Linked DNA regions of Drosophila melanogaster. The protein of the gene in region 2 purifies or fractionates together with the protein of the main gene of each other region. This does not show direct contact. Each region holds a gene or a part of one and is shown on either strand. Other genes may lie near its edges. The genes, in order: Rbp4 and fest.

The links.
Region 1: the proteins of fest (region 2) and Rbp4 purify together in Drosophila melanogaster (affinity purification with western blotting; one study listed by BioGRID). This does not show direct contact.

The regions. Positions count from the first base shown.
Region 1 is NT_033777.3:13,646,678-13,662,028, forward strand, and holds Rbp4 (RNA-binding protein 4), read right to left. Parts: upstream 9,718-15,351; 5' UTR 9,628-9,717; coding exon 9,586-9,627; intron 9,525-9,585; coding exon 9,268-9,524; intron 9,204-9,267; coding exon 8,920-9,203; intron 8,808-8,919; coding exon 8,112-8,807; intron 8,025-8,111; coding exon 8,017-8,024; 3' UTR 7,879-8,016; downstream 1-7,878. Other genes in the region: rin (rasputin), read left to right, coding at 2,392-3,820, 4,132-4,382, 4,497-4,889; Hrb87F (heterogeneous nuclear ribonucleoprotein at 87F), read right to left, coding at 11,790-11,887, 11,960-12,971, 13,663-13,710; B52, read left to right, coding at 15,057-15,182.
Region 2 is NT_033778.4:19,335,570-19,352,924, reverse strand, and holds fest (wurstfest), read right to left. Parts: upstream 11,117-17,355; 5' UTR 10,842-11,116; coding exon 10,554-10,841; intron 10,358-10,553; coding exon 9,974-10,357; intron 9,913-9,973; coding exon 9,734-9,912; intron 9,672-9,733; coding exon 9,495-9,671; intron 9,361-9,494; coding exon 9,214-9,360; intron 9,144-9,213; coding exon 8,880-9,143; intron 8,702-8,879; coding exon 8,599-8,701; 3' UTR 7,171-8,598; downstream 1-7,170. Other genes in the region: Rgk1 (Rad, Gem/Kir family member 1), read left to right, coding at 6,828-6,872.

The DNA.
Region 1 (15,351 bases), on a different chromosome or scaffold from region 2:
TCGGATTTCCCAACAGGTTATAATATAACGTTATTATGGTTTTTATTTATTTGCTATATAAAATGTTTCCTTTAAAGAAAGGTGTTTCATGAGCTTACTCAAAAAATCGGAAATGGCTAAAATGAAAATAAGTTTTATAAAACTATTTAAAAGAAACTTAGCGCCCCTAAAATGAGCTTAATTGAGCTCAAATATGAAAATATCAAATTCATCAAAATATTCTATGGAACATACTAGATTAACCACCCCAAAAAAAGAAGTGTGTGCACACCCTTGGAAAAGCCGCCATCATTCACACACCAACACACGCGAAACCAAGAATAAAACTGTGCAGAGGCAAAAAAGAGGAAAAGAGGAACGAACGTCGGTTCTCTTCTCGATTCAACACACTTGTCCAATTTCATTGCGTTTGCGATTATTTTCTACTCAAAAGCCACAACATATGCATCGTAACTTAATTCAACAACAACTGTGATCGCCAAACATCAGAAAGCAACAAAAAATACACGTCAAGAATTGCCAAGTTAGTTATTCTCAAAAAAAAAGACAAAAAGAATTGCAACAAACTAGACTAGTGTGTGTGTGTGAGCGAGTGAGTGCATTGGTGTGTGTGGCTGTGTGTTTTGTGTGCAGCTTGCAATTTTATACTGCATTTCATACGTTTCGACTATCGTTTTGTAAATTAAAAAAACCGCATAATTTCAGCGCTCCACTAAGAAATCCAACTCTCCCCGCCCCCCGCAGGAAGATAACAAAGAAAAGTGCTACAAAAAGTGCCGATTTTTCGGCAAACTTCAACCCAAAAGCAATACACACTGTGCATTACAAAAAGGAAAAATAAAAACGAGGAAAAATATCGCTTAAAAAAGGTGAGCCGGCGACGGCCTCGTGTGCGCGGTCTAGAAAAACTAGCATTTTCCATTTTCAAAGGGGTGGCGCATACTAGGAAAAAATCAACATAAAAAATGCTAAATGGGCGTATATTTTATTATTGCGGCAGGGCTCTATCTCTTAAATTTTTTTTTTTACCATTTTAGCGGCTTTTTTTATTATCGCTTGTGCATAACCTAAAAATGTACGAAAAATTTTGTTTTTGTACATTTTTGTTTAAATGCTGCTCTTCAACTATAGCTTTCTTTGTTCTTCCTACACACGCGGTTCGCAAGCAGAAATAGAGTGGGAAAGAGAGAACCCGAAAGAGCGGCGCGTTCATAACCGAATATGTGTGCGTGTGGGTTTGCCGCAACTCATTGTGCATTTTTTGTTTTATCGGCAAATGTTTATGGCTAAAATGGGGCAAAGGACACCTGCAAACATTGATATTTACTTACACCTTTTAACGCTATTTCAAGTGTTTTTGCAAGGCAGCAATTTGATATTTTGGCCAAGCTGGAGTTCATTGTATGCGGCGCCACAACCTTGAGACCCGAACATAACCTCAATTTAATTCATGCTCCTCGCTTGGCGGCTTCTTTTTTTTCTTTGCCAAATTGTATGAGGTCATTTACTCGCGCACACACACACACGTGCAAAGTTCAGTCAGCCAGGATCGCAGGCATAAAAGCTGGAGCACGTGCAGGGTTAAATGTCCTGCGACGGCAAGCAAATTGGAATTTTTCCTGACAGCTGCACTACACCAAATTTCCCCTTTTCGCATGTGCAAATGTGTGTGGGCCCCAAAAGTGGGTCAAACTGCAGCGCGCTGCGTCTGTTTTATATGCACTGCGGTAAAATGAGCTCCCTGTTTTGGGTGTACAAACCTCCCCCCCTCCCCGCCGTCCTTGTGACCAAGCGAAACTCTAGATCCTTATTGGAGAGCACAGCAGGGGTCAACACTTTGGTAGTCAGTCACATTTCTCTAGAAATTTATGTAAAAGAAGCACAGATTGATTTAATGGACAGTCTGAAAATCCAATTAAATTTGTTTCTTATATTTGCGTGTTTTACCGTTATCAAGCCTTAATTCTCCAAATTAAATTTACACGTGATGAAATTAACTGATAACACAACTAGTGATTCATTATGGTTTCTATACTTTTACCGGCACAGGTATGAATAAGCCATCTTTGAACACCTTTTGGAGATTGTAAGAAACAGGGTAGCAGCTTCCTTTAATTTCAAATTATCAGATTGAAAAATCTACACAGTCGTCTAGGACTTTTGCCAACTTTTCTTTTTTTTTATTAAAAAAACCAGACAGATTTTCATAGTGCGCGTATATTTTTTGCACTATTTCGCAGACGTTCCCACACTCTCAATCGACACAGATCAGCCACCGTGTCGATAGATCCGAGCAGCAGCTAGAAAGAAGGGAAGCAGAAATTGGAAGCGGAGACAAAGAATCCGAGTCGAAGAGTCCGTAGTTCAGAGAGGAAGAATCAAACGCCAGCTATGGTCATGGATGCGACCCAATCGCAGCAGCCTTCGCCGCAATCTGTGGGACGCGAGTTTGTCCGCCAGTACTACACGCTGTTGAACAAGGCGCCCAACCACTTGCATCGCTTCTATAACCACAACTCGTCGTACATCCATGGAGAGTCCAAGCTGGTGGTCGGTCAGCGGGAGATCCACAACCGAATCCAGCAGCTGAACTTCAACGATTGCCACGCGAAGATCAGCCAGGTTGATGCCCAGGCCACTTTGGGCAACGGTGTGGTGGTTCAGGTCACCGGGGAGCTATCCAATGATGGCCAGCCGATGCGGCGTTTTACCCAGACGTTCGTTCTGGCCGCTCAGTCGCCGAAGAAGTACTACGTGCACAACGACATCTTCCGCTATCAGGATCTCTACATCGAGGACGAGCAGGATGGCGAGTCGCGATCGGAGAACGATGAGGAGCACGATGTGCAGGTCGTCGGTGGCACTGTGGATCAAGCTGTGCAGGTGGCCGGCGATGTAGTTGCCCAGCAGCCGCAGCAACAGCAGGCTCCTCCGCAGCCACAGGCTCAGGTCGTGGTGCCCCAGCAGGTAGCTCCTGTAGCGGCCGGTGGTGCTGCCCCACAGCAGATCTTCTACCCATTGCCAGCGGGTGCTGCCGCCGGACGTCCTGTGGCTGTTTTGCCACCAGCTCCGCAAGCCGCTGCTGTTCCACTGCCCGCGCAGTTCACCGTTCCGCCGCCACAGCCCATCCAGAACGGTGTGGTGTCGCACGAGGAGCTGCAGCAGCAGCAGGTGCTGGTCCCACCCAGCGTGTCTCCCCTGGTACAGCAGCAGCAGCCGACCGGCACGCCTGTGTTGCCCATTGTTCCAGTGCCAAGCGCGGGCTTCCAACAGTCGCCACTGGTGGCACCACAGCTCATCCAGCAGCAGCAGCAGCAGCAACCGGCACAGCTGCCCCCGCAGCAGCAGCAGCAGCAGCAACCTATCCAGCAGCAGCAGCCTTTGCAACAGCAGCAACAACCGCTGGCTGAGCCCGAGGAAGTGGAGGTGGCGCCAAGGCAGCAGAAGCCTCCCACGCCCGTCGAGGATTTCAAGACCATTCACGAGCAGCAGCAGCAGGAGAAGTACGAGGCCGCCAAGCAGCAGCAGAATGAGCCCAAGACGTACGCGAATCTCTTCAAGTCCACGTCCTCCTCGCCCAGCGGCTTTGTGAACGCCGCACTGCAGCAGCAGCAACAGCTCCAGCAGCAACAGCAGCAGCAGCAGTCCATCAGCAGCAACACCTATAACTCTTCCTCGGCAACCTCGGGTGGCGGTAATGGCAGTCAGGTTAGCTACTCCACCACCGCTTCGTCGTACAACAACAGCAACGGCAACTCGCGACTGGACAACGGTGGCCCGCTGCCGCAGCGAAACAACTCGATCCGCAACAACAAGGGTGGTAAGTTCATCGTTCCACCCTTAAATTAAAAGGGGTCATTCCCCTCTATTCGGCTTCAGGGTAAAAAGACTAAAAGATGTAGTGCAAACTTTTGGATCTCATGTAGAAATGAAAACAGTGGTTTCTAAGAATTACTTTTTTAGTCCCCTTATAATTTATTATGATTGGCTTACGTTCAGATTTTTAGAAAGGTAATGATTCATTTTGTTGGTTTACTTTCTTATCAACTTAAGGTTGGCTTATATGATAAGCAAAATTGGGTACCGCTTTTTAGAAACTCTTCCTAATAACTTGCTGTTTATACTTTACAGACTTTGAGCAGCGTCGCTCGAGCAACACGCAGCAGTTCGGTGATAATCAGCAGCTGTTTTTGGGCAATATACCGCACCACGCCAGCGAGGATGATCTGCGCGAGATCTTCTCACGCTTCGGAAATGTCCTGGAGCTGCGCATTTTGTCCAAGGCTGGCAACAAGGTGCCACCAGGCATGCGCAGTCCGCTGAACTACGGATTCATTACCTACGACGATCCTGAGGCGGTGCAAAAGTGCCTGGCGAACTGCGTAAGTTAAGCAGAAAGTAGATTTAATTATTGGAATTGCTAAGGTATCTCTTTTATCTCCTTACTTTTACTGTGATCAGAAAGGTTATCTAAACATATTCTTTCCATTTCATAGCCCCTATACTTCCCGGAGAACTCACCCGATGGCCAGAAGTTGAATGTGGAGGAGAAGAAGCCGCGTGTCCGCAACGACATGGTGCCGCGCCAGCAGATCGGTGGCAACAACCTGAACAACAACATGGGCCGTTTGGGCGGCAACAATGGTCCGCAGTCGCGTCCGATGGGCAACAACAATGGCAGCGGCGGTGGCATGATGCGCAACAATGCCGGTGGCAACAATCTGCGCCAGGGCGGCGGCGGAGGAAACGGTGCTCCTCGCCTGGGAGGCGGCGGTGGATTCGGACAGCGCCAGGATAACCGCACCGGTGGCGGCAACAACCAGTCTAACGGACCGCTGCGCGGTGCCGGAAATGGACAGAGTGGTGGTGGCAACTACGGACGTCGCTAAGGGAATTGTCCAGCAGCACGACATCAGCAAAAGCATCAACAAATGAGCAACGGCAGCAGTAGCGACTATAACATCAAGAACAGCAGCAACAACCCAACGTTAAAAACATCGACTTCTTCCACAATGCAATCAATCAATTACATTCAAGAACATCTCATGCAATTAAACACACGCAAATCACACACTCATACACTAAGATAAAGTAGTTGGAGCAACATAAAACGTCAACTGTCCTTTAAATGTTCCTGAGCGCAACTCTCGGGGCGTCGAACTACAAACAAAAAAGAAGGAAAGAAAGATAGGATGTAAAGAGTTGCGTCAACGGTCCTGAGTCCCTTCTTAGTTTAATTGCGTTAGGCTCGCTTTTTCCAGCCAGTTCGTGCCAAAATATACCGAAATTCTGTGCAAATCTTCGTTGTGAATCCAAAAACTAAAAGAATGTAAGCTTCAGCTCGGCAACTGCTACTCTCTACCACCCACCACCCACTCACGGAATCAACTTCACCTTGAAACACGTGTATTAAATTTAAGTCTCAACCAAGCACACCCACAAAACACTCATCGCAAAACACACGATCGCACACAAAAGCCAACACAAGATACATACACTCACCCATTTTAGCATAAATGTAAACTTTAGTTTCAGCTTTTGTTTGGCATTAACCTTCAACTAAAATCTATCTTAAGTACGCAAGATGCAAGAAATTGGTTTGATACGAAGGAAAGGAGCAATGCAACACATTTTTGTTTGTTTTTTCATTGAATAACACCATTACTTAAGCTAAAAACAAAAAAATAATTAAAAGGGAAAACTTACACACTTAGCTAAAAAGATATAAAGAGAAGTAAAAGAGAAAAAAAAAAACAGAAAAAAAAATGAAAAACCTTTGTAAAATGCAATAAAAAAGAGCAAAAGAAAGACTTGAAAAAATTAATTTAAAAACTAAAAAAAAAAATGGAATGTAAACACGAGAAAAATGTAAGGCGCGGTTAAAAACAAGCAAAAATAAGATCACGATAAGCAAAGCAAGCACACAAGAACACAAACCTCTTTAAAAAAACATTGAAAATGAAAGGAAAATCAATTGAGCACCAAGCCGCAAGGAGGAAAAGCGAGGAAAACACAAACACACATCGACGTCGACGTTTAGCGCCCCAGAAAGAAAGTCCGCCGCATTTTAGAGCCTGTAAACCTTTTGCTACTTAAATCTAATTTGCAGACTAGCTAGTCTATATAGGTATCGTATCGGTTCGAAACGGTTCGGTTCGCTTCGAATCGGTTTGGATCGGAAGAGTGTGGAGATGAGAGCGTGTGATGAGGGCAAATGCGGTGCCGGCGCCGCAGGTGGGTGCGTGTTCGATGCAATCGATGGTCAGGAATAAACGGACGGACGGACGGTCAGTGTTTTCGCTTTTCTTTTATTCGTTCTGTGTAATAAGTTCAAGGTCGTAAACCAAACTAAGTCAAGCAACTTAAACGATTTGGTGTTTCCAACGCAGTTGTGAACTAAAATTTAGTACATATTTTTTAAATAAAATCAAGAAAAGCCCAAAAAAAGAATGAAACGAAATGAGTAGAGAAGATGTGAAGCATATAAACACACAAGAACCTATTATAATAAATAGTTGGGGGACGAGACACAAGCTACTAACATTTTTCTCAAGGTAAAACAAGCAAAACATGTAACAACAAATATATACAAAATATATATAAACAAAACAAAAACTCATATAATTTAATGTTAACTTTTAGACTTACCAGAAATCTAAATATACATAAATATATATATATATATATTTATATAACTGCTGCTGCAAAATAAAAATAAGGCAGAAAAGCGATTAGGAAACTGAAAACATTAAATTCGTGTGAGCATCATTTGAGTTTTGTCGCAGGCGTCCAAATATATATAATTGCCCAAGTTATTCTTGTTTTGTTAAAGCTTAAGGACTTTTAATTCGTTGGGAACATATCATTTGTTTTTGTTGTTCGACGCCTGCCCTAGAGAATCAATTGCTAAATCAATTACAATCGCAATTTCCACAACTATTTCTATATAACACCACGCATTTCTAGCACTGTGAACAGGGTCTAAAGCAATTTTAGTGCATTTTTTGTAAAACGAAAGTGTTAGTGTTCAAACCTTAGCTCAACGATCAGTGCTGAAAGTGCTCCGTGGCCAGCAACAACATCATAGAAATAATAAACAAACAAAAAAAAAAATAAGAAACATGAAAACAGCATCAAACAATACAATACAAATCAGAGGTACTAACTAAATCGATGTAAGAGTAAACGAAAAACAAACAATTAGAGTTCATGCTCATTTCTAAGTAAACCGATGAAATCACAATACTGCAGTTTGTAAAGAGTACAGAGAAAAGGAGGGAAACACTTAATTATAATTTAATTTATATGTGTACAACTACAAAATAACTATAATAATAAAAACCAATCACAAAGATTCAGCGTGTTTACCAGAAAACTTATGATTTTGTTTCATTTCAAAAAAAAAAAAAAAAACACACACACACATTTGTTTTGGATCGGTTCGTATTTCCTTTTCTGGTAAATGCGTTTAAAAGAAACACCAAGTCGTAGATTTAGAAATCTGAAAGGAAAAACTCACAAGGATATGTAATTTTACTTATCAAGGCGACTTTACTTATCCAGCGACTGAATCCAATTCCCATTTGCCTTTGTGTTGAAACAACTGAAGAACTACTGAGCATTCAGCATTTAAATGAAATTGATGCGCACAAAGCCGAGCAATCGATAGCAATTTGCATAATTTTAATTAATAACAAGCCAGTCGAAGAAGCCAGCCCACAAAATTCCAGTCACAATTCATTGGTGCGTTTTATAGCGTTTCAGATATAAAACATTTGCGAAAAATCAATTCACTCATGCAATACATGCAATACTTTAAATGGAAACAAACATAAAAAAAAAACCAACAGAAATAGTATAAATAAAGAACAAGAGTTTACGATTTTAAGTCTCAAAAGGACCCGTATGCTTTATTATTTATTAAATATCTTGAACGGAATCGCCTGCAAATTATTGTAGTAATAGCATTAAACTGTGGCAGTAAATTGGGTTTAACTGCGTTCCATCGTCCGCCACTTAGATACCTGCAAGAATAAAAAGATACTTTAGATTCTTTTCTCTTTCTTAAATTAAATTTAAATTTAAATTAAATTTTAAGGAAAAAAATGAACCGTAGGGTGGTGTTGTAGCCTCTTTGCCGATCTTCGGAATCACTCCGTTGGTCGGAGATTTAGCTGGCTTGAAGACCTTATAGTCCTGGGTGGGCCACTTCTTAATAGCTCCAACTCCCACGGCGGCACCGCCAGTCAAACCCAATCCCAAGCCAGCTCCCGACATGCGATCCGCGTCGCCACGGGCGCCGAAATCCAGCTTGTTATTGAAAGTAGCTGCCTGGAGTTCTTTCAAATCGATTTTGGCACGATCGTTGGTCGATGTCTGGGCATGTTTGTGCCCGGCCTTCGGTCCCCATTCGGCCACTTTGCTGGAAGTCCACTCCTGGGCCGAGTAGATACCGGTCTTCGGATAGGAGGACCACATGTCCGGACCGTGTCCGTTGAGCGAGTGCTCTGCCAGCTGCTGTGACGGCAACGAAGCAGCCATGTTCTGTCCGGGTGTTGGCTTGGGTGCCATCGGAATTACATAGTGGGCCCAGCCGTTAGTGAATGCCGATGGCGGCAGGACGGATTGGGCCAGATAGGGATTGTAGTTGGGATTGTTGTAATTGTAGCTATCAGCAGTGGCCGGCTGGGGCGGAATGTAGCCGGCTCGAACCGAGCTAAATATGGGGAACCGAAAACGCCTGTCGGCCTTCTGGGTGGATCTCTTCACCTCCACCAATGTCTGAAGAATCCAGTGCTTGCGCGGTGCTGAAAATCAAAGCAAGCAGCGTTATCATCAGATTTTAATCTATATCATACTTAAAGGTAGTTGAAAAAAATGCACGATGACTTTCAATAAATGAGAAACATGGAAACTTACCCAATGCCTTCTCGGCACTGGATGGATCCACGAACTCGAGGAAGCCAAATGCCCGCTGACGTCCGGTCTCCCTGTCCATGAGCAATTTCACGCTGGCCACAGGGCCAAACTGCGAAAAGTATTCGCGTACGATATTCTCATCGTGGTATTCCTTCAAGCCGCCCAGAAAGATCCTTTTCGAGTTCATGAAACCGGCTTCACAGCCAAAACTTCCGACAACGGAACCAACGCCGCCACCCCTTTTGAAATCTTGACGTGGCAGTGCGTGCTTGGTCTCCACAATTCTAAATTAATTAATCAACTTTTTATAGAATTAGGGCAGCGAAAGATTATTAGAGAACTACTCACTTATTATCAATGGTGTGGGGACGTGCCCTTTGGACAATTTCCACGGACTTGGGATCCACATAGGTGACGAAGCCAAAGCCCCTAGAATGGTTGCTCACCGGATCCCGCAAGACCACCGCATCGGCCACGATACCGAACTGACTAAAGAATCCGCGCAGCGTTTCCACGGTCGTCTGAGTGGATAGGCCGCCAATGAAGATCTTGCGCAAATGCTCGTAGCCTTCTTCCTTAATGGCCGTCTTTCCGTCGCCTTTGCACTGCACACACACAACGACTTTCGTTGATAATTATGAATAGTTTGGGGGATTATGAGCTTACATCTCCAAGGCAGGCCGACGAGGCACAATTTCCCGCATCCATTTTCGAAGAGATGTCAAAATTAAAATAGCCTGATTTACTACAGCACTCAGGTGAAGCCAACCACAAATTGAATGACAGGCAAGAAAATCCAAACGTCTATAGTTATGGACTATCGAAAAAGGTCCAAAAATATTGTTGCCACATTTAGATGATTCAGCATTATTGGATGCAAATGGGCCAATAAATCGATAGGGTTTGAATCCTTAAAGCGTAACCCTATAAATCCCTATAATATCGCCTCTTTTGCTTCGTAGTCCTAGCAAAAAACCCTACTTATGCATTATTAGAAGAAAAACCCCATTGATCTCATAAGAATTTAGTTCGTAATACAATCCAGAAAGCTAGGTCCTTCGAAAACCGGCTATAATCCACTGAACATTTATGGTATTCATAGAACAAATTGTTCTTGGTAGTGAAAGTTCTTGTCACTTTTAGATGATTCAGCATTATTGGATACAAATAGGCCAATAAATCGATAGGGCCTAAACCCTTATACGTAACCCTATAAAATATCGCCCCCAGAAAATAAAATACAGCTCTTGTTCTTGCTAGTAAAAGTTGTACTTTATTGAAAAATTCAGAAACAAATGAGGTGTTAGTAGAATACCGACTAGTTACCTTCACTTACCTCCGCTGTACCCACCAAGTTAGCCAGAAGGGAGCCACCAACCAAAGTCCACCAGTGAGTTCTTCCTGGGCCACCGCTTGCTTTGCGGTCTAAAACCATTAACTAATACCTGGTGGAAACGAACCGGTGCGTGGAGCAGCCCAGATTTCGTATACGGACCCGGGAGGGAGCTTCCGTCCGTAGCCCGGCCAGTCTTGCAAAGAAATAGTCAGTGCATTAGTATGCGGCGGTTTGCCCGGGGGTTAGGTGGTGGGGGTCTCTAGTGACGGTAATTAGCCCTGCCCGCTACCCTGCCGATCTGGGATGGATCGGAAAACCCGGATTTTGCTGCAGTTGCTGCTCCTCTTTGCTAGGGCATTGCTCCTGTGATTATTTCGTTTCGTTTCATTTTGGGTGGGTAGGTAACATTGGTTAGGATTTTATTTTGCTTGTATCTCTTTGTCGCTTTCGTTTCACTCGTAACGAACTAATTACAGAATGTTTGTGATATTTGTTTAGCGTTTTTCTTTTTAGTCTGGCTTAACGTAGCATCTACTTCTTAGGGACTAACAGAGTTGGTATGCATATATGGATTTTGCTCGCTAGGACACCATTTCTCGGCCACTGTGCAGCCTGTACACAAATGTGCGTGGCATTCGCATTTCAGGAGTTGGGATCTTACTTGCCACAAATCATAAAGGTTCTTAGTTGTACAAAAAAAGTGATTACAAAATATGGTACTATTTGATTTCTTACATTTCGCTGGATCGCTAAAAACAATAAAATCATGAATAAATATAAAGAAAGTGCTCTACCTTATAACACCCTTACAACGACTGAATCTCAAGGAGAATCCGTCGCCGCTCAGTTGGTAGTCAATTTTGTACAATAAAATTATTGTTTAATTTATATTTTGTTGTGTTTGTTTCTTTTGTTTGTTTATGGTTAAAACTAAGCGTTCGGGGTTCTTAGGACCCTAAACATAAATCGATCAGCGAATTATTAATGGTTACAAAAGAGAGATAGCAGCATTCAAACTGTGGACAAGTGGCGTCGATTGGATTTCGTTTCGTTTCGCTTTTGGCTGTTTTGCTTGACGCATAATCATTTGCTTGGTGCTTTTGACAAGTGGATTATGGCTATAGCCTGCAGGTTGCGGCCGGACCCAAACCTGATTGATTGATTTATCGTTTGCATTTGCGCACGGCCTGGTTCTTGGTTCTGCATCTTGATTTCTTGGTTCTGATCTTGTCTGCCTGGTCTGACACACACATGCTACTGATTGCCTGCCTGTGAATGTGCTTGTCCCTCTGCATCTGCCTGCCTAGACTGCCTGTTTGTCGTCTAGCTTGAACTGACACACTCTCTCTCTCTATGTGTGTTTACCTAGTTGCGAAAGAGGAGAAAATTTTGCATTAGCTTCGAATCGTTCCGAAATGAGTTTGATTGCATGGCTAGGCTACCAACTAGCTGCCAATAACGACCAAAGATCCGAGCGTTTGAGATTGTACGATGGGATAGGACCTGTCGTCCAGGTTATCTATATTTACCTTGTCTAGTAACGTCTATTGCCGCCTCCCATATTTCCACCCTGGCCACCACCTCCGGTGTTGTAGTTGTTGCCAGCAAAGCCTTGACCTCCACCCTGGTTACCTGTAAAAAATAAATGCATGGTTTAAGTACATTATGTACATTATGGTCAAATCACTTAATAACCCAACATACCCTTGTTGAATCCTCCACCACCACCTCCTTGACTGTAAGGAGCTGGACGGTTGTTGCCAAAGTTGCTGTTGCGCTGTGGACCGCCGCCGTAGCTCTGCTGGTATTCATTTCCGAAGCCACCGCCACCACCACCTCCACCACCGTTACCGCCCCAGCTGCCATTGCTGTTTCCGCCGCCGTAGCCGCCGCCACCACCACCGTTCCAGCCGCCGTTGCCGCCACCCTGGTTATTCCATGGACCACCTCCGCTTCCGCCTTGCTGATTCCAACCGCCAGAGCCGCCGCCCTGACCGCCTCCAAAGTTACCGCCGCTGTTGCCGAATCCTCCGCCGCCGCCAGCTCCGCCCCAGTTGCCCCCACCGTTCTGTCTGTTCTGGCCTCCCCAGCCACCGCCTCCCTGGCCGCGGTCACCCTGACCACCGCGACCGCCAGCTCGAGGACCTCCGCGTCCGCCACCTCCGCCCTGTCGATCCATATCCTGCTTGGCAATAGCCTTCTTCACGTCCAGGGTCTTGTTCTTGATGGAGTGGGTCTTCTGAAGGATGATTTTGTCAACGGGATCGTAGTCATCGAACTCAATGAAGGCGAAGCCGCGCTTCTTGCCGGTGTCCTTGTCGGAAACAATGTTCACGCTCACGATCTGGCCAAAGTCCTTGAAGTACTCGCGCAGGCACTCTTCATCGTGATCGTCTCGAAGCCCGCCCACAAAGAGCTTCTTTACCGTGGCTCCCGCATTCGGGGAATCGATCTCCTGGCGTGGCACAGCCCTCTTGGGCTCCACGGTGCGTCCATCGATCTTGTGTGGCCTGGCATTCTGCGCATTGTCGATCATGTACGACTGGGAGTACGTGATGAAACCGAAGCCGCGAGAGCGCTTCGTCTTGGGATCCTTCATCACCACCACGTCGACAATGTTGCCCCACTTCTCGAAGTGAGCCTTCAGGCCATCATCTGTGGTGCGGTAGTCCAGTCCGCCGATGAACAGTTTGCGCAGCTGCTCTGGCTCGGTGATCTGCGGGTGAATTTCAAATGCATTAGCTAAAGACGTTCTATAATTTAAATAATTTCTAAAAACAAAAAAAAAACCCATTGATTCGAAAATAAGTTGTAATATTAAATTAAATTAATTGATTTCTTTGGACAAACTTTGCGAAAAATGTATAAATTTATATAATAAAAAAAAAAATCATACTGTATCTAAATGAATAAATGTATAAAAAATATTTAAATGTATAATAAGTTGCTGTAAATTTAATAAAAAAATAAGTTGCTGTCAATAAGTCAATAAGTTTATGTCAATAAAACGATAAAAGTGCAAAATCATCCTTGATCAACAAGGATTTGCCATTGTTTATAATAGTAATTTACCTGGCGAGAAAAAGCCGCTCGCCATATTTTTTTTTTTTTTTTTTAGTATTTGCACCGCCATGACAGCCCGTATATGTGTATGTATGTATGAATTTTCGTTTTCTTTTTTATCAAACAGCCGGCAACTTTTTTATCGGAAATTGCTTATATTTCTCGCCAAAAGAGGTCGATAAACTTTTAGCTGGCTAAATTCGCACAGGGATCGATGGCCCCCATAATTCGGTAAAAAAGCGGCGTGAATGTATATTATACACGAATATTGTCGGCGTCGACATTTTGCACTTTCACGCGCGATGAACGATTTACAAACAGCAATTGGTCATTCTGCAACTCACCTCTTCACCATCGTCGTAGTTTCCGTTGGAATCGTTTTGTTCCGCCATTCTCTCCTTGGTTGTTCAAGAAGATGGAAAGTTTAAACACCGAACGCAGGAAATATTTTTTTTGTTTTTGTTCTTTTTTGACGGCAGACTGGCAATAAATGAAATGTACAGCACGCACAATGAGAATGGAGTGAGCAGTATGACCAGGTGTCGAGAACGGGGTAAAGTCGGAAAATCGGACGCCACGTGGAATCGGAACGATTGTTTCGGTGCGTTAGGGGTGTTCCTCGACAATTAAGCTGATGCCACACTTGATTTTATATATCTTCATATAAATTTGTATTCGTCTAGTAAGGGCTTAAAAATATTAGACAAGTTTATTGTATATATTTCTGAACAAACGGATTTGAATGTATTATCTTTATAAATGGATTATGATAATTACTACCACGATAACCCAAGAAACATTTAATATGTTTAACTTTTTAGCTAAATATGTATTATTATTAATACCGCTTACATAACTCTTTCTGCGAGCATTCGCTTTAGCTGGGGCGATGGAAGGCTTCACTTTAAGAGATAACTTGTAAATTATTTTGTATTGAATTGTATATTTGTAAGTAGCCAGCTAAGGGTCAATCAATATTACAATTACGGGATCTATGAGGCATTTGGGAATAAAAAAAGACATCGTGCGAAATAAATTAATAAATCCAGAAACATTTTATGTATATCATCAAATCAGAAACGTTAAAAAATGCTAATGAGTGCTTGCTAGCAGATATCAAAATAAAAAGGTTGTTAACAGTATATTCAAATGCTACTACTAAGTATATTTAATGTTTATTCTTTTCATAGCGGAACACGAACAGCAACTGGAATACCCTTAACGCAGCGAAACGCATTGCCCGCCCAAAATATCGATAGGCGAAAAAGTATCGTTCCATTCCGCCTTTGGAATGACTGTCAAACATCGCTTTCGTCTGTCACTTTCACTTCCGTTTGTGTCGAGTCGCTTGCGTTTTTTCGTGTGGGAAAGCCTGAAAAAGAGAGAGTACGGCAGCGACTTAATTGTAAATTTGCCACAAATATCCTTCACTGAACGGTACGTGCTAGTGAGTACGCTTAAGTGAAGAACAGCGCGTATTTCGCGTTGTTAAATTAACTCGTTTTTGCAGCGGTTCTGTACACCCGGTACATTGCGAGCGTGTGTGTGTGTATGTGGTGGCCGCCATCTTGGCGAAACATACACGGCGCGTACATATGTGCGTTTTTTTTTTCTTCCATTCCTAAAGGACAGTCGAGCAAAATAGAAGCTGCAAACTGCAACGGTTCCCTTGCTGATATATATATATATACTTCACTATTTTATAGCACCTGCTCCAGATACGTAAGGAACCGTTATCATGGTGGGATCTCGAGTGTATGTGGGCGGTCTGCCCTACGGAGTGCGCGAGCGCGATTTGGAGCGCTTTTTCAAAGGCTACGGCCGCACACGCGACATCCTCATCAAAAATGGCTACGGCTTTGTGGTGAGTACAAAATATCATATTTAACTGGAATATGTAAAAAAAAAAAATCGGTTAAATTTGATTTGAAGACATTTCTGCATTTCTCTGTTTGTCTATAGGTTTCCTAACATTTCAAGCCGACCCTTGAATACTTTTTTTTTCTTTTTGAACCTATATTTGTTCCATCATT
Region 2 (17,355 bases):
TCGTACAAACAAAGGCACGCCTTTACGAATGTTTTTGATGTTGAGTGAGTGGGACTTTGACTTGTGGCGGTATGGGCGTCCAGGGGATACATCCAGAAGACCGTTGTTATCGGCTCATCAATTGTGTCCTGGCCGTTATCCCTTGAGCTTTGTGACCCTCTCGTCGAGCAAATAAAGTTACTTCGCCATCGCACAAAAGTTGGCCTACATCTAGTTAATTAAGTAGCTATTACAGAGCCAACAGGCCACATGAAAGCTACATTCCAAACTATATTAAATACCACAGCTCACACACTTTTTTGTTGCCTTATTTCAAAATGTATAAGCTAGCCAAAATGATGTTTTAAGCCCCTATTATTTTAATTCAGCGCATTGTCAATTGAACAGAAAAACGATAAACCAATCAGAAAATAATTTAAGTCATTTTCGGTTAATGGAAATTGATCATCTGAAGTTCTTTAACAAATAATGCAATTATATTCGATTGCACGGTTGATAAGTGATTAATCTTTTTTCGATCGGGAATTTATTTATTTCAATTTTAGCATTTCAATTTTTTCCCTGAAAAAGCACCTGCGATGCGCCTGTAATATCGAGTCGATGAAGCGACTCTTTATATTATTGTTTCTCTGCATTGTAAATTAGTTATATCGCCGCTGGCATAATCTATATATATGTATATATGTTAGCGCACGGAAGCACACATCAATCAAAATCGAACGGATATAATCAATCCTATTGAAGCGGGAAAAATCTGTGAAAATGCGAAATTTTATTACTGGTATATGTGCTCATGATGATTATGATTATTGTTATGGTGATTTACCTGTCTGCGCTGCCAGCGGCCACAGTGCGTATGAGTGATGATGTGTGAACGTTGGAAACCAATTACGTAGTGAATGTACACACACATGCCCAATATCACTGAAGTAGCAATAATAGTACAAAGACATTCCCGCCAGGCACAAACTCAATGGAAATGCAAATGTCTACTCTATTTATATTCACTTACTCATTTTGGGACATTTTTTCGATGACCACTTGGTAGTCAGTCGCCTGTAGCGAGTGCAAAGTTAATTTTCCGCCTAGTCCCCCTGTTTTTAATGAGAATTTCGTTGTCAATTCATGCCAGCGTTTTTGTATTTATATAATTTTTTTTTTGTGATAAAAATTATGTAAATAATGCAGGGGAGAAGAATTTGTGTCAGCTTTGACTTTTGCGTTATTTCCGTTGGCCGCTTCTTTCTTTCGCTTTTAATAACAAAAGTCAGCAGTGTAATAGAAAATTGTTTGCCTCATAATGGAAGAATAAATCTGCTAACAGCGCATTGGGCACGCGTTGCGTATACGTAATATGAGAAAATAATTGCTGGCTGCCACTGGCGACTAAATTGCTTTCGAAGCGAGCCCAAAGGCACACACTCATCACCCATACAGGCGCACAACCAAAACGATGAGATTGCAAAAAAGTTTCTTGTATTACCCAGAAAATGATTTCGTTTACAATGGTTTTTCCCTTGTTCATTGGACCCTGCCCCTCGAAAGTCAAAAAAGCGCTGCCTTTATGGTCCTGTTTATTGGCCCTCCTGTTGACCAAAACATTCGTTTGGTCTTCCATCGCATTTCCGTGCACATCCTGGAGTCTTCAGTCACGAGTGTCCTGAATCTCGAGTCTGTCATAGGAATTGCTCTGCTGATGTTTCTCGTTTTGCACCCGCCATAAATCACTATTATCTGAGGCAACATTTTAATGACTTGGGACATTTGCATACCCGTACACCTGTTTACCCGTGGGGCGGACAGGGGGGCGTGGCCGACCTCTTAACTGTGCCAGCCAAATTGTAGTTCAAGGACTTTGCAATAAGCCGTTGGTCTTAAAGGCTTCAATGATGTCTGCAGAGCAACCGCAAAGTCCCCGGTGCGCAATTCTCGTTTATTGTTTCGGTAAATTTACATTTGTTTTGAATGACTAACGGTTGTCCTTACGAAACGAAATTTATTGTCTGCCAGTCCCAAAAACACATATAAAATTAAGGGTATTAGGCAAAACCTAACTTTATCTATCTAGCATGTTAAATGTTCCAGCATTTTTCCCGGAAAAATCTGTGCCGCTGGATGAAAGGATTGTGTATTCAGAATTTTCGTATGTGGCCGAGCAAGAGGAAACTCATATTCCAATTCACGGCTTTCGATTTTCCACTGAAATCACTCAATTGTGTGAATGCCCAATAGCACAGTACATGTGCCATAATTCGGCTTTTGCTGCTCGTGTGCATTTCCATGTTTGAAGAAAACTTCCAATTTGCAGAATATTATTTATGGCTGATTTGAACGAATTTTAGATCATGGCTATGGAATTAGAGCCAAACATCATTTTAACTCTTTGCTTTCGTTATGAACTAAACCAAGGGCATTCCGACTTCGCTTCGGCTTTTCATCGCTCCTGCTGTTGACCCGCCAAAGCTGTTTTTCACTTTTCCCGGTGACACATGCCCACCCTAGCAGCCTTGGATTCTTGGAATCTCGCATGCACAACAAAAATGGCAAAATAGCAAAATGGCAAAATGGCAAAGCCAGCAACAGGGCCAAAAACATACAAGTGGGCTCCGTCGCCTGTGGACGGAATATGAATATGAAATTCCGTCGGGGGCCCAAAGGACCTGGCTTTTAATTGTGTGTCGGAAATTATGTTTCACTTTTCCCACCTCGGGCGCATCATCAACCAGTCTCGACGGTCTTTTGTTACCCCAAGTAAAAGTGGCCCGAGGCAAGTTTCTACTGCAGTGTAAATTGGGGGCATTCCGGAAAACATGACTCCTGCGAAAAAAGGAGCACGACTTCGTACAGTTGAATAGCTGGGATTTTTTTCTAATATTTTTTTTTTTTAGCAGCAACTCGGATCATACAGTTTTAATTGGTCTCTCTTGCAAACATGCTTCGCTTTAAAGGGTCATACAAATTTGAACTGAAACCACTTTTAATATAAAATATATTTTGTTTTGTATACTTGCAGTATCTTTGGACTTCAGTTTACAAGCCGCGCTATCGCAGCGTTTAAATTCGATTTAAAAAACAATATATCTCGACCACACACTACACAATTCAACTACAAATAAGATTTAGTAATTTCCTCGGAGCGACGACAACTTCGAAACTTGTAAACCTTGCGGCTTGCAATTGCAAACTGTGCAGCAAGGCGCCTAAAGTCCTCAGATTAAAGTGCAATCTAATTGATTGGCCAAGGACCAATCAGGGCGTGGAGCAGAGGTGCAACTAGGAGCTGGCACTGAATTGTAGGCGGCTGGTGGACTGATCTGCGGATGCATTTCGCTTGGACGGGGGCCCGACAAAGACAATACGGAGGGTCTACGGAGTGCTTTGGCCCGTTTACGCAACAGAACGGGCCCCTCTCTTCCACAACAACCCACCCCGCCGGCCTCTCCCCTGCCCCTTGCCAGCACCCACAGCAACGCCCACGGCCACGCCCACGCCCACATCGCGGAGAGAGGCGCCGGTGGCAGGTGCAGCAGCTATTGCCAAGAATCTTCGCCTAACTCCGCGCTCGCTGCCCTAAAGTCAAGTGAAGCGGGCCAAAGAGCCGCTGCATCAACAGGATCTTCGGTAAAAGGATCTGCAGCAGACGGTAGCCACATCAATGGCCTCGCCCATCATGTAAGTACTCAATGGCTCAACCGCAGATATGCCGCAGAGAATCCTTAGCCATATCTGGGGGAGGTAACAAAAGCTAGACTGAAGCCGCCATTGCCGAAGTATTTTGTATGTTACACCTGACACCGCATAATTCCCCAAAAGTGCACCGCAAGCTTGAATTGTTATATATATGATGTGTGATAATATTAATATTTAAATTGGTTTGGTATTAGAAATATGTACATTCAAACTTATTGTCAAATGCAAATACCCATTTTAATGAAGTCTAAAAATGGTCGAGCTTTACATTTATGAAATTCGCTGGAGCATTGGTAAAAGGATATGACAGTAGGCTCCATTATCAACTGGCGTTTCGGTCAGGTGTTAACTGAAATTATTGTGGCAGTCTCGTTATTGGTAATTCGATTTCCACTTACTTCACCCTATGTGGGCCGCAAATTGGTTTACCCAGGGTCGAATGGAACAGGGTCAGCACGTGAGTGGACCCGAATTTAAAGGACATTTCCGAAAACAACGACACCGACATAATTGCGTAACAACATTTTACCATTAGACTTAATTAAACCGTCGTTGAAAATAACTGCCATTGGCTGTTGAATGTGGTTGGGAAAATGGTAAAGTCGCAGACGGAATCTGCTGCAGAATCTCAGACAAAACCCGGCAAGAAAATGGGAGACACTTGAGCTGGATGGCAACGACAACATGCTGAGGAATTTTAATGAGATTTAGGGTTTGCATTTAAAGCGATTTCACGCATTGCAATTCTGGCAAAGGCAGCGGGTTAATTAGAATTGCCTTGTCCTTGCAAATATAGCCACCATATTATACCGCGAACCTTTTTCACCCAAAATCAAATGACGACGATGCTGATGATAGGTAGCATGTGCCAAATTTGCCATGGCCAAAATCAGATCATTTCTGGCCAAAACCAAAAAAAAAAATAGACACGTAAGACCACAGATTGCAATGTGAAAATATTGGAAAATTTACCATGCCTGCATTTCAGCTGGCCGAAACTTTCGTTATTGGAGAACATCGGCCATCATCACCGTTCCATTCTTTTGCCAATTTATAAAGCCCTTATTTCGGACCGGGCCAAGTGGATTAGGCCGAAATATTTGGCCTTCGGCGGGGGCTTTTGTTTGACTTTCCGGCCTGCCAATTCAAATTAGAGTGTTGAGAGGGGATTTACTCAGCGGCTTAATTAAACGCCATTATAATAATGTTGACGCTCGCCTGTTGTTACATTTCAATTGTTATTGCCGCACAGTTAGAAAATATTTACACACGGGTAATCGAATTCGTAAGAATTTTACAATTTTAATCTATATTCCTAACTCTTTAATAGAAAAGAAAAGAAAAAAGGGATTAACTGTACTTAACGTAGGCTTGCTATGAATTTCGCTACTTTCTTAATTAGTTTAATTACTTCTGATGAAGCAGACGTTTTAGAGTGCCCCAATCTACCTTCGAATGAATTCTATTCATGAATAATTTATGAATTGTGTCATGATATTGGCAAGCAGCATTTTTGTCATTGATATACGATATATACTTGAAACATGTCGTTCACAATCACCCTTTCGCCAATGCCATGTTGCGTTTATGGGTTTTTGGGGGCTAACAGCTCCGCCAAGGAGAAAACATCCATTGGGGACCACTCACTTTGAACTCCCGCTCAGCTCAGGTGGCTGGTCTGATTGATTTGATTGCTGTCACCTCAGGCTTACGCATCCGAACATAGAGATTCGGATGAAGTGCTCACCATGACAGATGGAGTTACTCAAATTCGTATGTATTTTGCGTTTATCTTGCCGGTTGAATTTAAGCCTCTTATCCGCAGGGGTAAATATTCATAATTTTTCATTTACCCCCCGTGGGCCATTCGTTTCCCATTAAATTAAACGAAGCTGAATTTTCACGCAGTACGAATGGGTGTATCCTTTACTGTCTGCCGTCTGTTCAGTTTTGGGATTTTCCTGGGTAAATCGGTTAAAATGCAATTATCGTCGGCAGTTGCAGTGTTGCAATGCGATGGCTCTTTCATTTCGACGGAAATCGAATTGATTTGCTGCATGACCACAGAAGAAGACAGGTGAAACGAATCCATGCGACGATTTATGGCCAGGAATTAAGCCTCATTGAATTTGTATTAATGTGAACGTAATACCGGTGGAGCGAGACTCGCATAATTGAAGAGCCCATTAAATGGTAAAATATAAAAATTGATGTCTTGCCTATCCAGCCCATTCCAACTTTTGTCGGAAATTGAATTTGATAAACTTTCTAAAGGCAAAAGGCGGAAGAAGAGAGGAGTTTCTAGGCAGCAATTAGTCCTTTTTGAGAGGATGTCGATGGGTGGTGAGGAGTGGGGTGGGGGTGGCTTGGGCTTGAGTTTGGGGTTTTGGGTGGAAAACTCGGTCAGATGAGATGCTACGTGCCATGCGTCAGCTGGAAAAATGGGAACCAAAAAGTTTGTTTATGCTTAGACTTTTTGGCCGGGTTCTCAAATTCGGGACCATATAGCACCGGAGCTCTGGCTTCGACTGCTGCTGTCATTCAAGTGTTTTAATCAATTCTGATTTAATTTTACGCCCAATTAAGTGTGAAAAGCGTTTGATGTTGAGCACGGGTGCGAGAGGCAAATGGCACCGTATACGCCCCCCGTTCCCATCCAACGGATTTTTCCGACCAAGTCACGCAAGCGTGAGCATTGAATATGCCATATGTGTGTGTGTGGGTCTCGCCCTTTATGGCTCCCTAGCTGCTGAGCCACATAACCTCGGATTCAGGATTCAGCCGGGTTCGGGTTGCTGGGTTCGGTTAGCGACTTTATTTAATACGCAGCACTAGAGTAAACGCATTTTTAGATGTTTGTATCCGCCTGAGCTGGAGACACTCACCATCACCGCCGCTTGAGTATCCTTGCCTTGTGGCTTCCGCACCTGCCCATGCTCACCGCCTCGCTTACGCTCACCCGCCATTTCTCTCTGTGTACCCGCTAACCATGGAACCACTTTCTTCCTATGACAGAGTCAGCCGTGGCATATAGTTCCGCCCCAGCATTATCCACTAATCTCTATCAACAGCCACTGCCAACGGGCCGCTCCTCCGGCTCCAACTCCAGGTTAAGTCTGTTGGAGAGCTTGGTCTGCATGACTGCCGATCCCATATCGTTGTGCTTTTGGATTTGTTTGCAGGTAAACATGAAGACCTCTCATCTTTTATAATATTTGTATATGAAAACCTTTTTTGGCAAACATTCAATTACTTTTAAACGTGCAATTCATTCCTTTAAATATTTACATAGCTCGCAAACTCTTTAAGCCCGAAAAGATTTCAAGTCCTGATGGCCCTTCAGGTGCCACAACTCCTCCAACAGGGTTGTAATGTGAATTGTAGTCGTTAAGCAATTTTCTTGTACTTTTACAATGCCAGAGGAAAGGTATGAGGTCATATATGGTTGCCAGGAGCCGCTGAAAATTGTATCTCGATCCAGATTTAACCCATGAGAATTAACAAAATTATACGAATCTATTACAGTAGCGCAGATAGAATTTACTTTATTCAGGACTTTCATGTATTACTTTTTGACATCGATTTTTGTGCACATAAATTTCGATATACATGAGGATTAAATTTAGAGTTTTGAAGATTGTTGTTGTAAGGCTACACAGGTATAATTGCAAGGCGTTTCACTTTTTTTTTTTTAAGGAATGGTGTTTAAAAGTGTGCACGTGTTTTAACTTTGTTTTCAAAGACGACTGCCTTTTTCAGATAAGCGTTTGTTTCGTAAGCTAATTAATTGTATTCCATTTCAGTCACAATTTCTCACTTTGGCCTGTCGTGTGTGTGTGTGTGTGTGTGTGCTTGTGCATGTGTGCGTGTATCTGTATTCCACGAGTGTGGTAGTGGTACTATTCCGTCTACACTTGGAAATTTAAGCACTAAGTCCACTCATTTTACATTTTACGCAACGTTTGCGCTGTAGAGTGTGTGTGTGTTGTGTGAGGATGAACATGGTTGGATTGTAGTAACTTAACTAATCTTAACTGGTAACTTAGAACTAACTGAATTGTCACTGGTGTTACGTTGGCCAAAGCAGCCGTCGTTTGTTAGCTAATTTTTTATCATGCAGAGGCTAATTTTGATATCAGCGATTTTATCAATTTTTGCTTATTTTTTTTTTTTTGTGGAAATTTTGCAACTTTCGATTTTCAATCTTGCTGAATTTGTTGCATTTCAAGTACGTGTCGAACGTTTAAAAAATCGTTGGAAACTTAATTTTGCTATACTGTGAGGGCCGAAAAGAAGCGAAACGCGAACCAAGTTCATTCTTTTTATAACACCAAACGCTGGCCCTGATCGAAATAGCATTGTCTTGGCCAGCGTTTCAGGCAACAGGTGGATTTTCCAGAGCCTATTCCACCTGAATTGCCTGTACTAAATAACGGTATGCGTATAAAAACAAGGATATCGAGGGCTAGAGAGATTGTAAGTGTGATTATCTAAAACTAATTCCCTAGTGTTTGCGTTGCGCCTACGTCGAGCAATCGAAAAGCAATCCTTCAAGGATCAGGATCGCCAGTTTTCGTTGCTCGCGCATTTTTTCGAGCTGTTTCATCTTAAATGCAGTTATACATTTATAATTTTTTTTGTTTAGAAGACCAGGTTTTCTTAAATGATCTGATCCCTCTCCACGCCGAGGCCCCAGTTTTCCAATGTTGTTTTGTTTGGATTTTTTGATTTTTTTTTTTGGGGGGGTCACTATATCGACGCTTGAGTCGGTTTGCGTGTGTGTGTTTTCTGTGATGTGTGTGTGGTGGTGGTATAATGGGGTGATTTTCGATTGCCCACGCTGGGTGGCTATAGGTGGCATTTGGATGGCCACCCAACGCGATGCACATCCCATGGTGCGAGCGGTACTTAGTAGACAATGAGCAGGTTGTTTTCATTGAATCCAGCCGAGTGACCAGCATTGCGTACAATGAAACAGGATCCGTCGAAGTGCATGCGCTTCTCATTACGACTGCAAAAAAAAAAAGAACAAAAGGAATCTTCAAATATCCGATTAACTGAATTACTGCAAAAGTATGGAATCAATTAAACACTATCAGTGTTATAATCGAATAAATATACGACGAGAACAATGCATTCTTCGAGTGCATCATTATTGCAAATAGGTGTGGATGCAGTGGCCAACTCACCGGACGAACAGGTGCGAGGTCTTGCCCAACGAAGCCGTGCAGTGGATGCCGGTGGTGGTCAGGGTGGCGGATCCATTGCCCGGACTGGTGCGAATCAGGCACTTGCTGTGCTGGCGGCTGACCTTGACCAGGCCGTCGGCCGCCTGGGTGATGCGGAATCCATTGATGTCATACACCTCGGTGCCGTCCTCGGCGCAATTGTAGGTGGAGTTGGCGATTACGTCGTGGGCATCGGACACAAAGGATGGGCCGTGGCGCGAATCGCTGGAGGGTGTTGTTAATTGGAAAGAGGAGCTTGGCGAATTGATTTGGGCAAATTTCGTGCTTAACTCACTCATAGAACACCGCCAAGGTGTAGTCCTTGGTCAGGTCGGTGAAGGTATCGGTGGTGGTGCGAGTGCCAGCTGTGTCCACCAGATAGATGAGGGCACAGGACTCGCTGGTGAAGCTAACGCCCTTGTACCACATTTTGGCATAGCGACTGGAAGAAAATGATTGCAGCTATAGTTGCATAGATTTTATACGAAAATCTAATGAGAAGTACAAGTTTAAATTCCAAAATACTAGTTGTTTGCCACTCTTAAAGTAAAGGTTCGATTCTACTTCTAAGCTTACACAAAGTTGTTGGCCTTCATTCCGTCGTAGGTGACGATCTCCACCTTGGAGCCGCTCTGCAAGATGCGCCCATTGGGATGGATGAGGGCAGAGTTGCTGCAGTTGCGCGATAAGGCGGCGGCAACCATGCTGCGCTGATTCAGCACACGGACAGCCTTGTCCAGGGTCATGTCAATGCTGGAATCGGGAATGATTTGGAATGATGATCAAGGGATAAATCTCCTACCACGTTCACTTACCGAACGCCCTCGCGCAGGCGCAACTGGATGGTGCCATTGGACATGGCAATCGGTCCAGATCCTGGACACGGTGGTGGTGTGTTGTTCTCGAACTCAAAAGTGCGCGAGCTGACGCGATCCATAGCAAAAGGTGGTGGTGGCATTGGCGATGGGAACTGCTGGGTGTGATGTGCCTGTGGCTAGGTAGATATCGCATATTTCTAAAATACGAAACACGGGGCAATAAATCAAAGCACTTACCATGCAGTAGGCTCCATCCACCTCATAGCCATAGCCAGAGTTGAAGCGTCCCGTTAGACTCTTGCCGCTGCGCGTAATATTGCCGGCATCCATGTTCCAGCCCATGGTCTCGTAGCCGGCACCAGATTGCGGCAGGACTCCGAAGCCCGAGTGGGAAGATGCGTGCATGCCCATATTCATGTAGCTGCGGCCGCAGCTGTTTGTCTGGCTGGAGCACTCCTTGGCCAGGACGGAGGTGCTGGTGCCCACGCTGGCGCTGTTGCCCATGCTGCTGCTGCTGTTGCCGCGCTCCAAGCCGCGCTTCACTCCGCCAGTCAGCGAAAGGCTGCTCATACGTGGAGCCAATGGGCTGTTCATCGATGACACAAAGCGCATGGTGGCTTGCTAGGGATTGGTAAGGGAAAAGGTATCACATGGTACATCAAAGATCACTTGCAAAAAATGGGAAGAAAAGATGACTTGCAAAAAATGCTAAGAAAATATGACTTGCAAAAATGACTTGCAAAAATCAAAGAGACGATTTTTTGCATATGCCTTCAAAATGAAGGCAATCCTATGGAGAAGTGACAACTCTACTCACCGGCGATGGGTTGTTGTTGGTGAATACGGAACGCTGGCGCACACCATTTGGAGCCTTGGTGGGCGAGCGCAAGATGTTATTGATCTTGTCGTTCAACTGGGCGCGGGACAAGAAGTCCTCGGCATTGAAGATGCCAACGCGGCCGCTCTTGGGCGTGGCCAAGGGGGCGGGGCCCGGTAGAGCCAGCTCCTCGACATGGGGCTCATCCAGGGCGCCGGAGTGCTGGCACTGCACCTCCTTGGTGCTGCTGGTCTTAGGTGCAACGGTGTCCTGGGCGTCGGTAACCATTTTGTCAAGATTCGATTGTTCAAAATTTATGGGAAAACCGTATGGAATCGAATGGGTGATGGATGATGGTGTTGTTGTTCTTGGTTGAAACGGGGCCTGGACTTTGGTATGTGGATCTAAACGAGAACGGCACACGCGGCGTGCTGGACAGCGAAAATCAAAGTACTCTGCTCGACACGGAACACAACGACTCAATGAGAGGAATTTAATTTTTTACTTTTTATGACTTTTCAAGAGCACTGCTCGCTGCGACAATTTTCGAAAGAATGACTTGCCTCAAGTGCCGATGGAAGGATGTGCCATCAATTCTGACACTCACTGGCCTACCGGGTTTTTCGATAGTTGAAAGTGTCGTAATATCGAGTACACGATACTTTACTTTTCCCTTCGTCCCTTTGAAGCCCTGGCACTTTTAGATTTCCCGTGAAAGTTCAACGTATATCCGATTAGTGCTGCATACTTTTAGACGGCAAAAAGCTGATTGAATTCAAAATAACGCATTTAAGGACGACACTGTAGTGCAACCCATCTCCTCGCTTTTAGTGGCCGGAAAACGAAGTTTCGCCTTCGTAATTGAATCGAGAAATAGACTTGAACACACGCACAGCAGTGCAGCTTCCAGCAATTTATTGCCGCTCATTTGTATAGTTTCTACGCAGCTATAAGCTGCAGCAAAAGACTTAGGCTTTAAGATTTATTGGGAAACTGCATTTTCCGAACGGGAGAAAGTGCAAGAGAAAGTGCCGTCATTCTTATCGATGCTGGTTAAATGCTGAACAAGTGCGCAGAGTTGCAAAGTTTTGAAGCGTTGGCAGGAAATGTCAAGAGTCAGATAAAAGTGATGTTTGCACGTAGCACAGTTTAGTACTTTGCTAATAAAAAGCTATCCCCTTCTAAATTGTTGCTTTAACGTGGCTTAAATATGTTGTCAAAGTCAAACAATCACGCAATTTAAATGTATTATACATTCAACTGAAACTTTTAAATTGACATATTAAATAAGAACTGGCATTTAAAGTTTCTGCGAAATGTAAACTGCTCTTATAGAACTTTCCAGTCGAACAGCTACAAATTTTTGGATTATTTCTTAATGAATAAACACTAAAATCATAATATATTTTAGTAATAGCTGCTCAATCGTTTTTCTTGTCAGTTATTAGCCATTTTATTTGCCTGAATGTTGACATATTAGCCACAATTTTGGCAAACCCCCAAGGTCGTTTTATTTCCATTTTTGTGGGTTCACTAACTCACCTTCAGTGTGCAAAGTCCCTGAACTTCCGGAACTATTGTGTTTTTTGTATACGACTGTCAACTCTTTCCGCTCTCATGATTGATTTTGCCTCTTGATTTCAGTTTTTTCTTGCGCGGATTAGTTTGTTTAATGAGCGCATTGACTCCTTGCATTTGGCCATCGGCCCACGCAGATTTAGATTGACACTTTCGCCATCATATCTATTTAAATGGACGCGTTTATTTAGACACTTGGCTGGCATATTTTTTAAATTTTATTTTTGGCACTTGGTCGGATCATTAAAATTCAGCCACTGCAGCTGCAATTCCGCCCACGCATCGCATTGACTCAGTTTTGAGCAACACCAACTGAAAGTGAAAATGTGTAATATATTTATAGCAGGAATGCAATCGCATATGCATTCAATGAAATACGGAAACTCATTTGTAAAAATCACCCCGTCCACCGAAGTGATTTTTCCGTTGTCACTTTCGCCAGCCGCAAGTGAAACAAATTGGTTAACCTCCTTTTTCAGTATTTATCGTTAAAAATATTCGCAAATATTCAGACAGCTGAAAATTCAGATTTTCAGCGAGCGTCGTTGGAATAGTTTGCTAAATTTTGAATTCAAGTTGTAATTACGCTCGTTTTGTAAAGGCAAAGGCACATTTGATATGAAAACTAAAAGGAGAACATCAGCCAAATGAATAGAGAAAATTCGCTATTACTTGCCGAAGCTCGTTAAAATGTGGAAAACTATTTTCGCCTTCTGCAGTCAGTGAACTTTGGCGCAGACAAAGATCATAAAATCCATACTAGTGTAGCGGCTATATATAGAAAGTGCATAGGACTCCGACTTGGCCAGTGTTGCAATCTTTGACGTCACCGTTCGCGTGAGTGGCAGTGCCAGTGGTAGTGGTGACCACTCAGATTGATGAGAAACTTATGGCATAATTGAAATGGCTTTTAAAATCCATTTGTTCAGCGCCTTCTTCCTTATTAAATCCTTAGCAATTTTCATTAAAAACAATTAGCGCCAACGACGCCACTTGCCTTTGTCGACAATACCAGCCCCTTCAGTTTCTACTGGGGGGCAGGAGGTGCTCGGGAATTGAATGGACTGGGTTGGAATCGGTTGGGATGGGACGGGATGGAAATTAATTGATTGTCAAGATGAGGCAACGGCAACCGAGCTGTGTAAACAAATAAATGTGTCTGGTCATTCAGCGGGAGATCTTTGTTGTCGCCTCTAGATGATAATGCCGCCCCGCTGTCAGCTATGGAATTACACTCACCCACTATATATATATATATATATATATATATATATATATATACAGATATTCCGAATCCGATGCACATACATTTACGGATCTCAACCGACAGGCACGCGACGCTAAAAGCCTCTCGGCTTGACTTCCATCAATATTTTGGCATTCCCGGCATTATTCTGGCCGCGTCGAATTCCTTGGTGACTTTTCTGTTTACACAATCCCCTTAAGTCCCGTGCCCCCACCTCGGCCCCCTGCAAGGTGATTCACAGGGATTTCCTGGAGACGAAGAAGCCACCACCTACGCGTGCCCAAAAAAACAAAAAAATAAAAAATTATATGAAAACAGATTGAAAGGTTGGTCAATTGGTGGTCTGAGCCAAAAGTCTGCCGACTGCCAACGGCCAACTGCCGCCGTTTGACGTCATCGGCTCTTCGGCACTTGCCAAAAAATCCACCCATCTCATACGCTCGTGTCTATGGTCTATGGTCTATGGTCTTATAGTTCATCGAAAAGGTGTGCCAGGCGGTTTTTTCCCCATTTTTTTTTTTTTTGGCTTGGGTTAAACTTTTGCAAGATTTAATGTGTGCTGGCGCTTTGCCCGCGTTGTCGGTCTGAATTTCACGCTTCATTGATGGGCAAATGTGACGTTGTCGCGTCTGCTTTGATTTTGATAAAATAGGCCAAAGTGTTCATCAATAATCATTTCTGTAAAGATCGGTGAGCGAAGCAATTATTTTTACAAAATTTACAAAGAGCCTCGCCAACGAATGCACAAGATAAGTTGGCTCAGGCATGGCAATCCATTCTTTTTTTTTGTTTTGAACATCCTTCACACATCAAAATTTTAATTTTTTTATTTCTACTTTTTAAGAAATATTATGTCAACAAGTTATGGGAAATACATAAGCCATGCACGTGATTTTTGCAACACACTTTAATTAGTTTTTATCAATTTAATTGGATTTTGTCAAGTAGTAGGCAGCAAAGTCGGCTTTTGTCGATAAAATATAGTCATTAAAACTTAAGTGGGATGTTTAAATGAATAACGTTTATAGGAAAAGATAGTTTCCACTTTTAAGGCCATTGGTAAGTTTAAAATTCAATTCATGTCATTTAGTAAAGAGTCATAAAACCGCACCGCCAGCAACCGCAACTTTATTTATTTAATTTTAATTACTTTACTTAAATTTTCATTTATCAAAGAAAACCGCACGAACTTGGCACAGCCCCTAGAATATTCCTCATATTTTATTCATTGGTAACCCACATCGAAAGCCACTGTACAAATTTATACATAAGAATTGTGCAAAGAGCCAGGGAAACGCGGACGTGCCTCTTGGCAGGTGCCACGCCCACTTTCCCGAAACTGTTCTACTTTCTTCTGTTTTCTTTTCTTTTTGGGGTCCACCTTGCTTCAAGAATCCCGAGAAGGTATAAATCAAGTGGCTTTCACTTCTGCCTGTTCCGCCTTCATATATATTATATTTTTTTTCTGTTGTTTTTGGTGCATATTAATTTGGGGAATTTTGTCAAAATGAATTGTATAATTTTATAACACATCCTCAGAGCTTTATTTGATGAGCCGTGTCTATAGAAGCGGATATATGTATATGTATGACTCGCATTCGAGTGGAATAAACTGTCCGTTTAATAGAACAATATACCCCGGATCGGACAAGGTATCCGCACCCAGAGACAATTACAAATGCATTGGCAATTGCAGAGCAGAGAGAGAATGGGTTCCATAGTTTCCGGGGCACGCATTTCGCTCGCTTTGTGCCATTATTTTATTTCCAATTCCCGGAGCGGCAAAAGAATCGCCCAGACACGCCGTCCAGACGGACGGGTTCAACGCACTGGTTGGTACTGATGGAATCATCGGGACACCCAGCCATTGTTGACTGCCAATTGGCCATAACCAGACCGAGCGTCGAATAATCACAATCGGACTGAACTATTTGCAATTCCCCAGCCCCAAAAGCTGAACATCTAGCGCAGACAACCCGCTGACTCAGAAATGTGGAACCATTCCCATTCCCATTCCCATTGGCATTACCATTTCCATCGCGTCGCAGCAAGAACCCATCACTATGGCCATCCTCCCGAGAACTGTCAACATTCCGTGGCGTCCTCATTTCGTGGCGAGTGAATTTACAATTTCTGCAGCGAGCACACCTTTTTGCAGTTTACACGAAGCGAAACAAATAAACGAAGTGAAAGTGATTTTTATTTTCTGCCTATAATTATGTTCTTTGTTTTATTTGAATGGCTTCTGATGCAGTCGGAGCAATAAATATTTATAACAAGTGTTCCTTTCATCTTGATCTTAATTTTTTTATGCAGTCAATTTTTAATTTTAATGGAAGATGTCCTTTCTATTGCGATAATAATATTATTTATTATTAGTTTACTTGACAATATATACAAATGAATTGACCATTTTGTTTCTTAACTTAATTCAGAAATTTCACATTGCGATAGCTAATTTCTCGCAGTGCAGCCTGTGAGGTAAAATTCCCGTAGCTCTCTGTGGGGGCCGGATAACTGCGAATACGAATGGGGAAAAAAATGAACCACAACCGCTGCCCATTTTCGTGTGTCTCCGTTGTTTACGGTCCGTTGCGGTGGCCACCGCCAAGTGCACATCTTCATCCTCCATCGGCCATTTGCGCCACCCACACCTCACTGGGATCGGATCACCTCAGCTCGATGGAGGCGGAATGCTTTCAAGTTATTTCTCAGCGCTGTCTTCTTATTGGGATCAAGTCAATATTTGTCGAGTAAAAATTACTTCCTGCTCCGAAATGGTGGCATCTCTTAAGTAGCCCCATTCCACTTTGATGTTTGCATTCCTGCCGCCCTCTTAATTTACGAAAAATTACAAATAATTGTTTGTATAACTTGATGAGACCAAAAACGTTTTAATTAGGGAACGTTCCACATTTTGCGACCTGCAACTTGCCTTCTTTTAATGAAGAAAGTTGTTTTATCTTTCATGTTTTAAGAAATACAAGCGCAAGTTTAAATAAATACTATATGTTGTGTTTAACTCATGTACCTTTTAAAGGTGCCAACTTCTTCTTGTGTATTTTATTTCTATGGAAAGAAATTTTAAATTTAAAATTTAATTTACTCAATTTTTTGTTATTAAAAACTTTTATTATCTTTGACGGTTTTTAATATTAACGATACATCTATATGTATGGCAAGGTATGGTCACCACTCCATCCAAAATTAAAACATATTAAAATTCAAATTGAATTATTTTAGTGATGGCTTGTTCGTGGGAGAAAAAAAATGTGTAGGAAACCGGCGTGTCATTCAATTTTGCAGAGCACATGTCCACTTCGGGATTGAGTTTCGATTTTTTGCTGTCTGGCCGGAAGGGAGTTAAACCGGAAATGCGAAAGGGGCGGAACCACCCACTTCGCACTTGTCAGTGGGGGCGGGTAAACTTGGCCGTTGTGCTTGTTGTTGTCGCAGCTGTTTGTTTGTTTGTTTGTTGTTTGCTTTTAGCCAGCGCCAAAAGCGTGTCAAACGAAACTGTTAACTGGAAACTGAAAACGGGCGGGCGTTTTACACATGGGTACTTTAATGCGTGAAGCTCGGCAAACACAAATTCAGAAATGTGTACCCAAGAAGTCAAGGACTCAGGAAAGCTTTCAGATTTATTCGTTGCAACACAAATGAGGCAAGGCAAACAAACAATCAGTCGAACTGATTGCTTATCCAAAAATTATATTCGATTCGCGAGGCTAACTGGCCTGCATTTTTGGCGGCCCAGCCTTCAAACGAATTTACATTAGAATTTTGCCAATCGCACTTGAGTTTTCAACTATCAACACGTAAAGATGTCAGCGAATCCATTAGAAAGACGCCATTAGCGTCGCCATTTAGTGTCATTAGCTGGAATTCATAGTCGTTCTTGAGCGCGTGGACATGCCGGAACTCAAAGGCGACCTTTGATCCAATGATGTTGGCCTAAAAGCTTGGCGGTCGCTGCAA